2 linked regions of the Arabidopsis thaliana genome follow. The protein of the gene in region 1 interacts with the protein of each later gene in a pairwise test. Each region holds a gene or a part of one and is shown in the gene's direction. Other genes may lie near its edges.

The links.
Region 2: the proteins of ROXY2 (region 1) and TGA10 interact in a two-hybrid assay, tested with the Arabidopsis thaliana proteins (one study listed by BioGRID).

What each region holds. Positions count from the first base shown.
Region 1 is NC_003076.8:4,539,714-4,543,197, forward strand, and holds ROXY2 (Thioredoxin superfamily protein), read left to right. Parts: upstream 1-2,066; 5' UTR 2,067-2,201; coding exon 2,202-2,624; 3' UTR 2,625-2,872; downstream 2,873-3,484.
Region 2 is NC_003076.8:2,118,700-2,126,733, forward strand, and holds TGA10 (bZIP transcription factor family protein), read left to right. Parts: upstream 1-1,772; 5' UTR 1,773-2,211; coding exon 2,212-2,285; intron 2,286-2,369; coding exon 2,370-2,491; intron 2,492-2,862; coding exon 2,863-2,954; intron 2,955-3,160; coding exon 3,161-3,289; intron 3,290-3,413; coding exon 3,414-3,479; intron 3,480-3,587; coding exon 3,588-3,647; intron 3,648-3,734; coding exon 3,735-3,812; intron 3,813-3,903; coding exon 3,904-3,985; intron 3,986-4,075; coding exon of another isoform or gene 4,076-4,078; coding exon 4,079-4,350; intron 4,351-5,494; coding exon 5,495-5,749; intron 5,750-7,365; coding exon 7,366-7,518; 3' UTR 7,519-7,758; downstream 7,759-8,034. Other genes in the region: AT5G06830 (uncharacterized protein), read right to left, coding at 1-84, 157-251, 521-655, 800-860. UniProt on the Arabidopsis thaliana protein: Together with TGA9, basic leucine-zipper transcription factor required for anther development, probably via the activation of SPL expression in anthers and via the regulation of genes with functions in early and middle tapetal development.

The sequences.
Region 1 (3,484 bases):
TTATATCTCTTGAAATAGTTTATTTAGTTATGATATTTTTATATTATTATGTATGAAAATACTCAAAATAGTTACAATTTTATGTATTTTTAAATATATATTTCAATATACTATGTTTATAATGTTATGTAATTCTATACTAGTAATAAATACTAATCAAAACTATTAAATAATAAAAGAAATCTTTTAAATAGATAATATAATAGTATATATTTTTTTTAGTATGATTTTTGGTGTTATGGTCGGAAAAAACACAAGTTTTAGTGCTAAAAATGATGTAATTTGAACACCAAAATGGTGTTGAGCCTTGAAGATGCCCTTAGAAAGTAAAGAAACACTTTAAATGATACCGAAAATACCCTTCCTGAAAAGCATAAGCAACAGTTACTTGACCAGGGTCATATCCGACCGACCAGCCGGTCAACGAGAAATACACATCTGATGAAATCTGTTACGTAAGGCTTCTGTAACGGCCTTCCAATTTTTTCCATATAATATATGATAAAGTGGTCCGACAAACGCAATCCCTCAAAGATTGTTATTTTATCATCATCTTAAGAACAAAGATTTAGTCCTCCAAATCATATAAATCAGCTTTAATTAGTTTATACACCAAATCTTAAACCAATGAAGGGACATTTAACTCTTCGGACTCACTTAAACTATATATACCCATATCTTAAGCTTTCTTTTATTTTCTTAAAAAGTAACAGAAATGTTCTCAAATAGATCGATGTATAGAATATGAATAATTTAGGGATATTATTCATATATAATCAATCGATGAGAGGTGACTCTATATTGCAGATTGGGTACCTACAAATTTCATAACAAGTTGTTTGTGCTGACAACGATAAATGTTTTTATTTTAGCATTTTTCCTTTTTATGGAAGGGGTTGGTCAAACATGAGAAACAAGAAGGCAAATTTTGCAGATAACAAAAGGAAGGCAGAAGCATGCATGAAAGCCAAAAAAGCATGTGACCAACTTTGTAAAATTCAACCTTTTTTCTCAGCCTTTTGGTAAAATTATCTACAAATCCAAACTATATATATATGGAACTATACATTTTTGTCTAACTGAATTCACAACATTTAATAATCATATATAAAGAAAAAGATGGTAGCAAACCAAGAACACATGCCAACTTGTAATTTCCATACATCAAGAACACTGACATTCTGATGGTAAGCAACTAAACACTGTTGGCAACTACAATCTCTTTTAAAAGTTCATTCTCAAGAATATTGATGACTCCTTTATTTCTTTTTATATAACATTAACTAGCCAATTTTCTATATCCCATTAGGGGCTAAGAATAATAAAATGGTTACGAAATTCGATCTTGATCACCAAAAGATATTCCAACTTGTATATATGTTTAGCGCTACATTTGTGAGATGCTAATTGGATTACACAATCCAAAATATATATTCCACTCCTTTTGCGATCATATTGATAATGGTATTATATGTAGCTTGTTTATAGAGATTGATTAGAGAGGATTTGAGAGCATAAAGTGAATACGGAATATAATGGAAAACCACCGGCCATATATCCAAACATTCGACCTCATCTCTGCGTTACGACTTGCTCACATAATGTTGGCAGCATCAAATTTATTATTCGGCGCGTCTCTATATACAATATATATATATACACATGAATATTGGACCATTTGTATTTATATATATGCATATATTGGACCATTTGTATTTGATAATATTGGACCAATTTCGCAGACAAAAACTAGCTAGCTAGTGTAAATGTGTAAGAAGATATTACAGAAAAAGCCGACAAGAAGGATAGATATATCCATTACCAACAATTCCCTTATTCTACTAACCTATTTAACTGAATAATATTCTACTTTTATATGGTTGTAAAATCTTGAAAAAATAAATAATTATACTTAAATGGGACTCAAATGTCTCTTAAAAATATCATCCTATCATAACAAAAGCTAGCAACCATGATGGTCCATGACTATCACATCAATAACTTTGTTATCATTTGGCATATCCTCTCTAATAATATGCCATTTTAAAATAAATTAAAACCTACCAGTTAAATTTAGAACTTCACCATGTATAAATACTCTGCATGCCTCTCACTCTCTCCCCAACCAACTCTCACACAAATTCTCTCGCTCTCTCACTCTCTTATTCTCTTTCTCTTTTTCTCTAAGAATACAAAAAAAGATGCAATACAAAACAGAAACTCGAGGGTCGTTGTCCTACAACAACAACAGTAAGGTGATGAACAACATGAATGTGTTTCCGTCGGAGACACTGGCGAAGATAGAGTCGATGGCGGCAGAGAATGCGGTGGTTATATTCAGCGTGAGCACTTGCTGCATGTGCCATGCCATCAAGCGTCTCTTCCGTGGAATGGGCGTCAGCCCCGCCGTCCACGAGCTCGACCTCCTCCCTTACGGAGTTGAAATCCACCGAGCTCTCCTCCGTCTCCTTGGCTGTTCCAGCGGTGGCGCCACATCTCCGGGGGCACTTCCGGTGGTGTTCATCGGAGGGAAGATGGTAGGAGCAATGGAGAGAGTGATGGCTTCACATATCAATGGCTCACTCGTCCCTCTTCTCAAAGATGCTGGCGCTCTTTGGCTCTGATGAGTGCTAATCTCATCCTCCAAATATCAACCTTTGGTTTATCTTTGGTTTTTAAGGACAGAAGAAATAGGTTAATCCCAGTGTTGAATTAGAGACAGTGAGAGAGAAGAGTGATGCGTTTGTTTTAAGCTTAGCTCTTTGTCTATCTTAAATCACACTAATATATAAATGTTAACTAATCGCTATGTCTCTTGTTAGCTTTCTTATCTCTAATTTTACAATTTGACAGTTGATTTGCAAAATTTAATGGTCATTTTTCACAAATAAAAATTTGCCATGAAAATAAAATAAAATTAAAGGTCAAACTAAGACAAGAACGAGGAGGTTATTTTCATGACCTAAAATCTTAACCGTTATAACTGTTAACTTGTGGGGGAAATAATCACCTCATGAGGGGTCCCCACTCCAGATTACGTGGAGACCCACTAACAATAATCCGTGATTTTGACCCGACCGTTGCGTCAAGAAGAGCCCGTACATGATCATCCAATAACGTCACTGATTTTACAGCTATCAATTCCTTCCTAATTCATTTTTGCTTTTAAAAAACAAATTAGAGAACACTTCTTCAGTCATTCATATTTCATACAATCACATGTCACCTTTTCTTTGTTTTTTCTTCTTCTCAAAGTTGTAAGAAAACTACAATTACAAGGTCACATTATCTGAGTTTGGAAGGTTTTTAAACATTTCACTTCCATTACAACTTTAAAGGGCTCATCAATTACCATGATGAGTAAAAGAAGGAACTAAATAGCATATATACCTTGAGATAAGTTATACTCATTAGAATAATTCTTACGTAGACAATAAACGACTCGTAACGTGTAAGTCACCCAGAGATCTTGATTACAGCAGTA
Region 2 (8,034 bases), 2.4 Mb from region 1:
AACATTCTGAATTATTATCTGAGCTGCCTCCCCAAGATAAATGTGATCTTTTTCAAACGCACGAACAATTGCTTCCCAAACACCCTAAAAGAGCATTATACAGCTGAGACAATGAACACAAACAAAAGTGCGAAACAGAGAGACAGTTTTCCTTACAGAAGCACCCGAAAGTCGACCAAAGATGTTGCGGCTTTCCGGAGTTGTCTTCAGGAGAATCTCATACACCTTTTTGACCTCCAAGTAACCGATCACTGGAAGCAAAACAACATTAAACTTGAATGAGAATACAACCAAGTAAGGCCCTCCTCCTAATCAATCATCAGACATAACCAAACAACAAACAAGCTTACGGTGTTCACAAAGATGCCAATAAAATCTCTTTGGCATTTTCAAACAAAATACTAACACTTTAAGTTATAAATGAGAGCAGTGAACCAAAACGCAATTTAAGACGAATTCGTTTTGAAGGTTTGAAAATTCGCCAAACTGATAAAAGAACAAAATTTGAAGAATTTAAAACCTTCAGGATCTAGGGTTTGAAAGAATGGATCGATCTCTTTAGGCAAAGAAGAGAACTCTTTTAAGATTTTGACTCTGATCACAGCAACCCTCTTCCTCCAATCCGCCGGAATTCTCTTCCGATCCACCAACCATTCTTCAAATTCAACAAAATTGAAATCAAATGAAGACAATAATCACCAACGCAGATTCGAATCCAACGAAGAAAACGAAAAAAAAAAACCAAAGAGATATAAAAATTTAAAATTCCGTGTACTCGTAATTGATAGTTCTGCATTACCTCCGAGACGAGAGAAGGTGATATCGATTGGAAGATTTTGAACATCATCTTGTGACGGCATTTTCTTCCGGTTAACCTTTCACGCTTTCTGGGAAATTTTATCTCCGAAGTCTCACACAGTTTAACGTTTTGGAGTCTCAAGAGTTTGCTACAGAAGAACGCATAATTTCATTGGTCTCATCAAATATCTCGAATCCGGTTATTGAACTAACCGAACCAATTTACTCCGGTCCGCGGCAGATTAAATTGTTTATTGGTTTTATATGGGTTGGTTGGATGGTCCATTACCGCGGTTAACATAAACTGGTCTATCTAGTAACGTCGGTTTTACCTTTACGGATTAGTCTACAGATTTTAAACTTTTTTTTCTTTACAAGTTAAAACTATTTTGAGGAAATTATTTGTATGAATATTTTGTGAATGATGGGAAAGAAATCAAAATTAGTTTACCAGCTCAATTTGATCAAACCAATTAGCTTAACAAAAACAAAACCTAGACCATATTAGTGCCCATTCAAACAAAGTACAATGGAACAGTTAGAGATACAAACAAAATTCAATCAATATATTTGACAATCTAAGTTCATAAATCACATAATAATGACTTTTAACTTGTTTCATATAATGTCTAGTGTTTATAGATTGAATGTAAGAGCGGTTAATGGATCATTAAAAATCGAATAAAAAATCTTATAATAATAATATAGATGATGGAATTGAAAAGTATATCTTAAAGTAAAAATCTAATAGCTGAATAATATATATAGGAGAAATATAATAATAATAATTTAGAGAACAAACAAAAAATATTTATACAAGTTTGTTATCAGCAATGTGACTAGAGAGAAGGAAGAAGAAGAGAGAGGGGATGGAAAAGGACATGTTCTTGACCGCTTTATCAGAATATTTTTCTTGGTTTCATACAAAAATAAAAACAAAGTCGTCTTCTAATATTTTAAGGTAGAAGAAACTTATACAACAAAAATATCAGAAAATAAAAAGGAGTTTGTCTTTAGGTTCTTCTCTCCAATCTCTATTTTTCTCTCCAATATCCTTCTTAAGTTTTTGAACCCTCTCCACTTCAATATAACCGACCTCTCTTCTCTCTTCTGAAAAAAACACCAAAGGAGCTTTAAATGCTCCGTTACATAATCTCTATCTCTTTCCAAGAATATAGAGAAAGGAAAATAATATACAAGAATTAAAAGAAGGTATATCATCATCTCTCTAGCTAGTGATCAAAGCACCGTCATCATCATCATATATCATCAGCTTGCCTCAGAGGAGAAGACCAACATAAGAGAGATCGAAGATCAAAATCTATCTCTCTTCATCATCTTCTGCTGTTACTATCATATCACACGCTCTCTCAAACATCATCCTATATATAGACTTCTCTTCATCATCATCAAATGCAAGGTCATCACCAGAATCATCATCAACACTTATCATCATCCTCCGCCACGTCTTCCCATGGAAACTTCATGTAATTTTTACTCACTTAATAACTTTTTGAATTGATTGATGATCCCCATGTTTTTAATAAGAGAGCTTTAATTTATGTGTGCAGGAACAAAGATGGGTATGATATTGGAGAGATAGACCCATCACTCTTCCTCTATCTTGATGGACAAGGACATCATGATCCTCCATCAACTGCTCCTTCTCCTTTACATCATCATCACACAACTCGTATGCACTCTCTCTCTCTCTCTTTTCTTTCTTTTTTGGGAATTGGGGTTTGTTTTTTTGGTTTCAGCAGATAAGGAAGATTCCCTTTAGGTGTGTGAGAGAGAGAGAGAGTCACAGCAAAAGCATGCCAAACAGATTTCAATCTTTCTTCTGCCATCAGTACTCTATTCTTTCAGCTTTGACCAGATCCTCTCTCTTTTCAGACACCAAATCTTTCAAATCCATATATCTTACACTTCTTTAAACCCTTTTCTCTCTCTGTCCTTTTTCTTCTAATTAGAAGAACTAGTCCGCTCACATATTTATATACATGACTTGTTATAACTAGACCATTTCTCATACATATGGTCACATGACTCATCTTATGGCAGAGAATTTGGCGATGAGACCTCCAACATCGACGCTCAACATCTTTCCATCTCAGCCTATGCACATAGAGCCACCTCCTTCTTCTACACACAATGTAATAATTATTACTATTACTTTATAAATTTCTATATATATATGCCAATTTTAGTTGGTTTCTGTTTCTAATTTAATATAATGTCAGCGCAACTACTAGCCATTTCATATAATATCAAGTCAGACCAATTATTATACGTTTCTTATTTTTCTATTGAGTAGTGATTTGATTGTTTTTTGGTTGTTTTATATAATGTGTTTGGTAAGACCGATAATACAAGATTAGTTCCGGCTGCTCAACCTAGTGGTTCCACTCGACCAGCTTCTGACCCGTCCATGGACTTGACCAATCATTCTCAGTTTCATCAACCTCCTCAAGGTTCTAAATCCATCAAGGTCTCTATCCATTTATGTTTTTTTAATCATTTAATTGCTTTGTCGAACTATAACTCGAGTATAGATATAGACTTGTTGTGGTTGTTTTTAGAAGTTAATGGGTCATATCTAAATGTTATGGCAGAAGGAAGGGAACCGCAAGGGTCTTGCCTCATCGGACCATGACATACCTAAATCGTCAGACCCTAAAGTGAGTGTATATTCATACAACTGCAGAAAATTAATAAGATTCTTTTTTTTTTTTTTTTTTTTACTTTTCGGTTTTTGATAGTTTCTTTATTAATTTAATTCTCAACAGACATTGAGAAGACTAGCACAAAACAGAGAAGCAGCAAGAAAAAGCAGATTACGTAAAAAGGTCAGCATTCAATATTTGTAAGTTGCAAATATAGTTTTTATATCCAAATTTATTTATAACGTTATTTGCTTTGGTAAATTACGACAGGCTTATGTTCAGCAACTCGAGTCATGTAGGATCAAACTGACCCAACTAGAACAAGAGATTCAACGGGCCAGATCCCAAGTAAATATTTGAACCTGTCTTTTCATATATATTGTATTTAACCTAAAGTCTAAAATGTACCAATTTAATTTGATTTCCTATATATGTTTAGGGCGTATTCTTTGGAGGGTCTCTTATAGGAGGAGATCAACAGCAAGGTGGACTACCCATTGGCCCTGGCAACATCAGCTCTGGTACGTTAATAGTTTCATAAATGTGATGACTCAAAAACCGTAAAATTTGAAAACCGAGAGAATGAGATATTGAGTAAATGCAATGTGAAGCAGAAGCAGCGGTGTTCGATATGGAATATGCGAGGTGGCTGGAGGAGCAGCAGAGGCTATTAAACGAACTAAGGGTGGCAACACAAGAACACTTGTCCGAGAACGAGCTTAGGATGTTTGTGGACACATGTTTAGCTCATTATGACCATTTGATTAACCTCAAGGCTATGGTCGCTAAGACCGATGTCTTCCACCTCATTTCTGGAGCATGGAAAACTCCAGCTGAACGTTGCTTCTTGTGGATGGGTGGTTTCCGTCCATCGGAGATCATTAAGGTACATCTCGTCTTTTCTTATAGCCATATACATATATTTAGGTTTTTCGAGAGATATTTACTTATTCTATTCGAGCCACATCCCACACAATAATTAGTCATGATGATATTGTAAACTAATCAAATATGGATTAATAAATCTAAATTTTGGAATTTTACTTGAAGACTAATCATTTTAAATTTTATCTTAGAACCTAAAATATTCCAGGATACAATCATTAATACCATCAATTTTGTGGATTACTTGCAGAACATATACTAATAATGACTGAAATTGTGACATTGTTATTATTTATATCGTACATATATGTCCACAGAATATAGTACTTCCAACTTTATTTTATTATTTAGATTTTTTTTTTTAATTTAGTCTTTGATTCTCGTAAAAGAGGTACGATATAGTAATAATAGATAAGACAGACAAGAGATAGACTATATAGTGATATTGTTGGACGAGGTATATATATACATAACATTGCATGGGGTGACTCTAGATGTATAAAACCAACATATATACGTGAATGTCTTTATATTACGACAATAATAAAGGTACACGTAAAATTATTTTGAAAACAAATTAAGAATGCATGCAATTGTGTGTGATGGTGAAGTATCTCTAGAAATAGGTAGGTTTTGGCATAATGCAAAAGAAAGTGCCTGTCTGTTTTTTCGATTTATGGGATCCATAGGAGAGAGAGATAGACATAAACCACCATGGAATTCAACAGAGACGACCATAATAAACAAACCAAAAATAAATAATTGTTTAACATTTTTAGCACGCTCGTCAATTGGATGATTATCATTTTTTTTCTTTTCTAAAATGGTTACGTAAAGCCATTTTAATTAAACCTACTTTTTATTCTAAACAATATGAGTACCTACGATAGCCGATTAATAATACAAATTAATATATGGATGGTGTGCATATCTGACAAGACCTTTGGCAATGTCTCAATCTTATATCCTTTTTAGTGAAAATAAAAAGGAAAGAAGAGATTTTGGGTGTAGCTAGTAACTCGTGCAGAGTACATACACTACACACTTTAATGCATTCAACGTTCTTTATGCATCCATTAAGACCATTGTTAATTAATCCTCGATATCTCAACTTGTGTGTATTAATTAGAAACGCATGCATGCAGGTGATTGTGAACCAGATAGAACCATTGACGGAGCAACAGATAGTTGGGATATGTGGGCTGCAACAGTCCACACAAGAGGCCGAGGAGGCTCTCTCGCAAGGCCTCGAGGCGTTGAATCAATCACTTTCCGATAGCATTGTCTCTGACTCCCTCCCGCCTGCCTCCGCACCACTTCCTCCTCATCTATCCAATTTCATGTCACACATGTCCTTAGCTCTCAACAAGCTCTCTGCTCTCGAGGGCTTCGTTCTCCAGGTACCCTTATAACTCTTTCTTTTTAAGTTTATGTGCAATTATATATCAATATACCAATCTTTTATCTTTATATAAAAATATACCTATAGAGTTGATATACAAGTGGACCCCTAGAGGATATATGTGGTCCTAATCAGACTAGGAATACATATTCTGTTTCTTTGAACTACTCCTTATTAAACTCAACTATCATATACTTATATATTTCTATATTTGGCTGTTATAACACGCTATCTAAATTTATATAGATGTTTGTATATATGTGTGTGTCTGTTTTGTGTACAACTCATATATAGGTATAACGTCGGCCATAATTTGTTAGAGGACATTTGTAATATATTAAGTGTATATAGAATAAAAGTGGTTGATTTTAAAGAAGATGTCAAAACTAATTCGCAAACTTAATAATTATGCATTAACATGTATATGTATATGAAATGGAAAGTATTTGCCTCTTGATTCGGACATTATGCAAGTAGGTATCTAACAAACACTTCTCTTGTCTTATATCAACTTGGTCGGGTTGCTTTTCTTAGACGACCAAGTTTATTAATTTAATATTTATTTCTTAATCATTTACTAGTTTAGGACAGGCAAGTTTTTGAAACAAAGAAATATATATATCTGCTTGTGTATATTAATGTATAAGTCTATACTCTATATGCAAATGGACATTTCGGCTAATTAATTCTATACAAGATACATGCATATACAAGTTGGCATCTTTCAATGATTTCTTAATATAATTAGTTCTAAATTGTTCCTGTTCCGCCTATAAAAAAAGTTTTTGTGTTTCGCTACACGGTTAGTCGCTCACAATTTGGAGAAAGATCCAACTTTAAAATAGGTGGTAAATGTGGGGTTAGTTACTAAAAAGGGGTAATGAATTCAATTTTCTCTAAACGCACGTGACAATTGGCACCATGAAAGTATGTATTAAGTATACATATTCCAATATATGTAGTCCAAAAGAAAAATACATATATTATGTATCTATAATATATCACATCAAATAAAAACATGGAATGCTTGGAGCCCATATCGTTGCATGATGTCATGGACGTAACTGCCCAAGTATCCCATCCTCCGAAAACACTTCCTTGAGAATAATTCCTTTACTTACATTTGATTCTGCATTTTTTTGTCTACTTTTATATCATTGATAATAGGTTGATTATATATGTATGATTCTAATTAATGATCAAAAGTATCATGAAGCATGGCGTGGGACCGAGGGTATGGAATTCACGGTTTCACCTTTTTGACATGTTGGTGTCGTGTTCTTATTAGTGAATTACTAACAAGCTTTGATTTTTTGATCGATCAACATGTTGAATAATCGGCATTAGTCGTCAATCAACCACATAATTTCGGGTCATGCACAATCATTATAATGCTTAATTAGTCCTTTATCTGTTTTTTTCCTCTCTAGTTAGTCTTTAATACTTATATTTATGAGATTAATGATGGTCCAATTCGATTATTTGTCCTTAATTGGTCTTAGTCAATAACATGTGCACTACTTTGTCCATCTTTTGTTTTGCTTTTACTATTTCTCCATTTTCCCTATAACTCTTATTTAGTTTTGAACTAGCTAATACATTAGAAACTTACAGGCGGATAATTTGAGGCACCAAACGATCCATAGGCTGAACCAATTGTTGACGACCCGTCAAGAAGCACGGTGTCTTCTAGCCGTTGCGGAGTACTTCCACCGTCTTCAAGCTCTAAGTTCTCTCTGGCTAGCCCGTCCTCGGCAAGATGGATAATACTAAAACAACTGATGAAGGAAACCAAAAACAAAAACAAGAGAATAGGTTGATTAGTTAGCCGCCAGCTTGACCTCTTTATCATATATATCGTCTCTCTACTCAAATACAGTGCAATTAGGGAAAATTGTTTGGCTTCTTTTTGTTATATGATTCTTACTATTATGTTTTTAATCAAGATGCAGATTATATATATAGACAAGTATTCCATACCTTTTAATGAATTCTTCCTTATGCAAATTCAAGTGAAAAATTATACTTGATCTTCAATTCCAAACACAAGAACATGAGAGAGTATTGAAAGGAAACAAAAATAGAAGGCTGGCAACAATTGCAGTTGCATGCAAGACTTATCACTTGTTAGGTCAAATTAAAGCATTGACCAGTGAGGAAGGTGACAAATGGTGAGTTCTGTAGGATACCGTCAGGGACTTGGGATCAGTACCGTTTTGCTTTGGGTTCAACGCCCTTCTCTCTCTCCTTTACTTTTCATTTCTTTGCTGTCACCAGTTAATT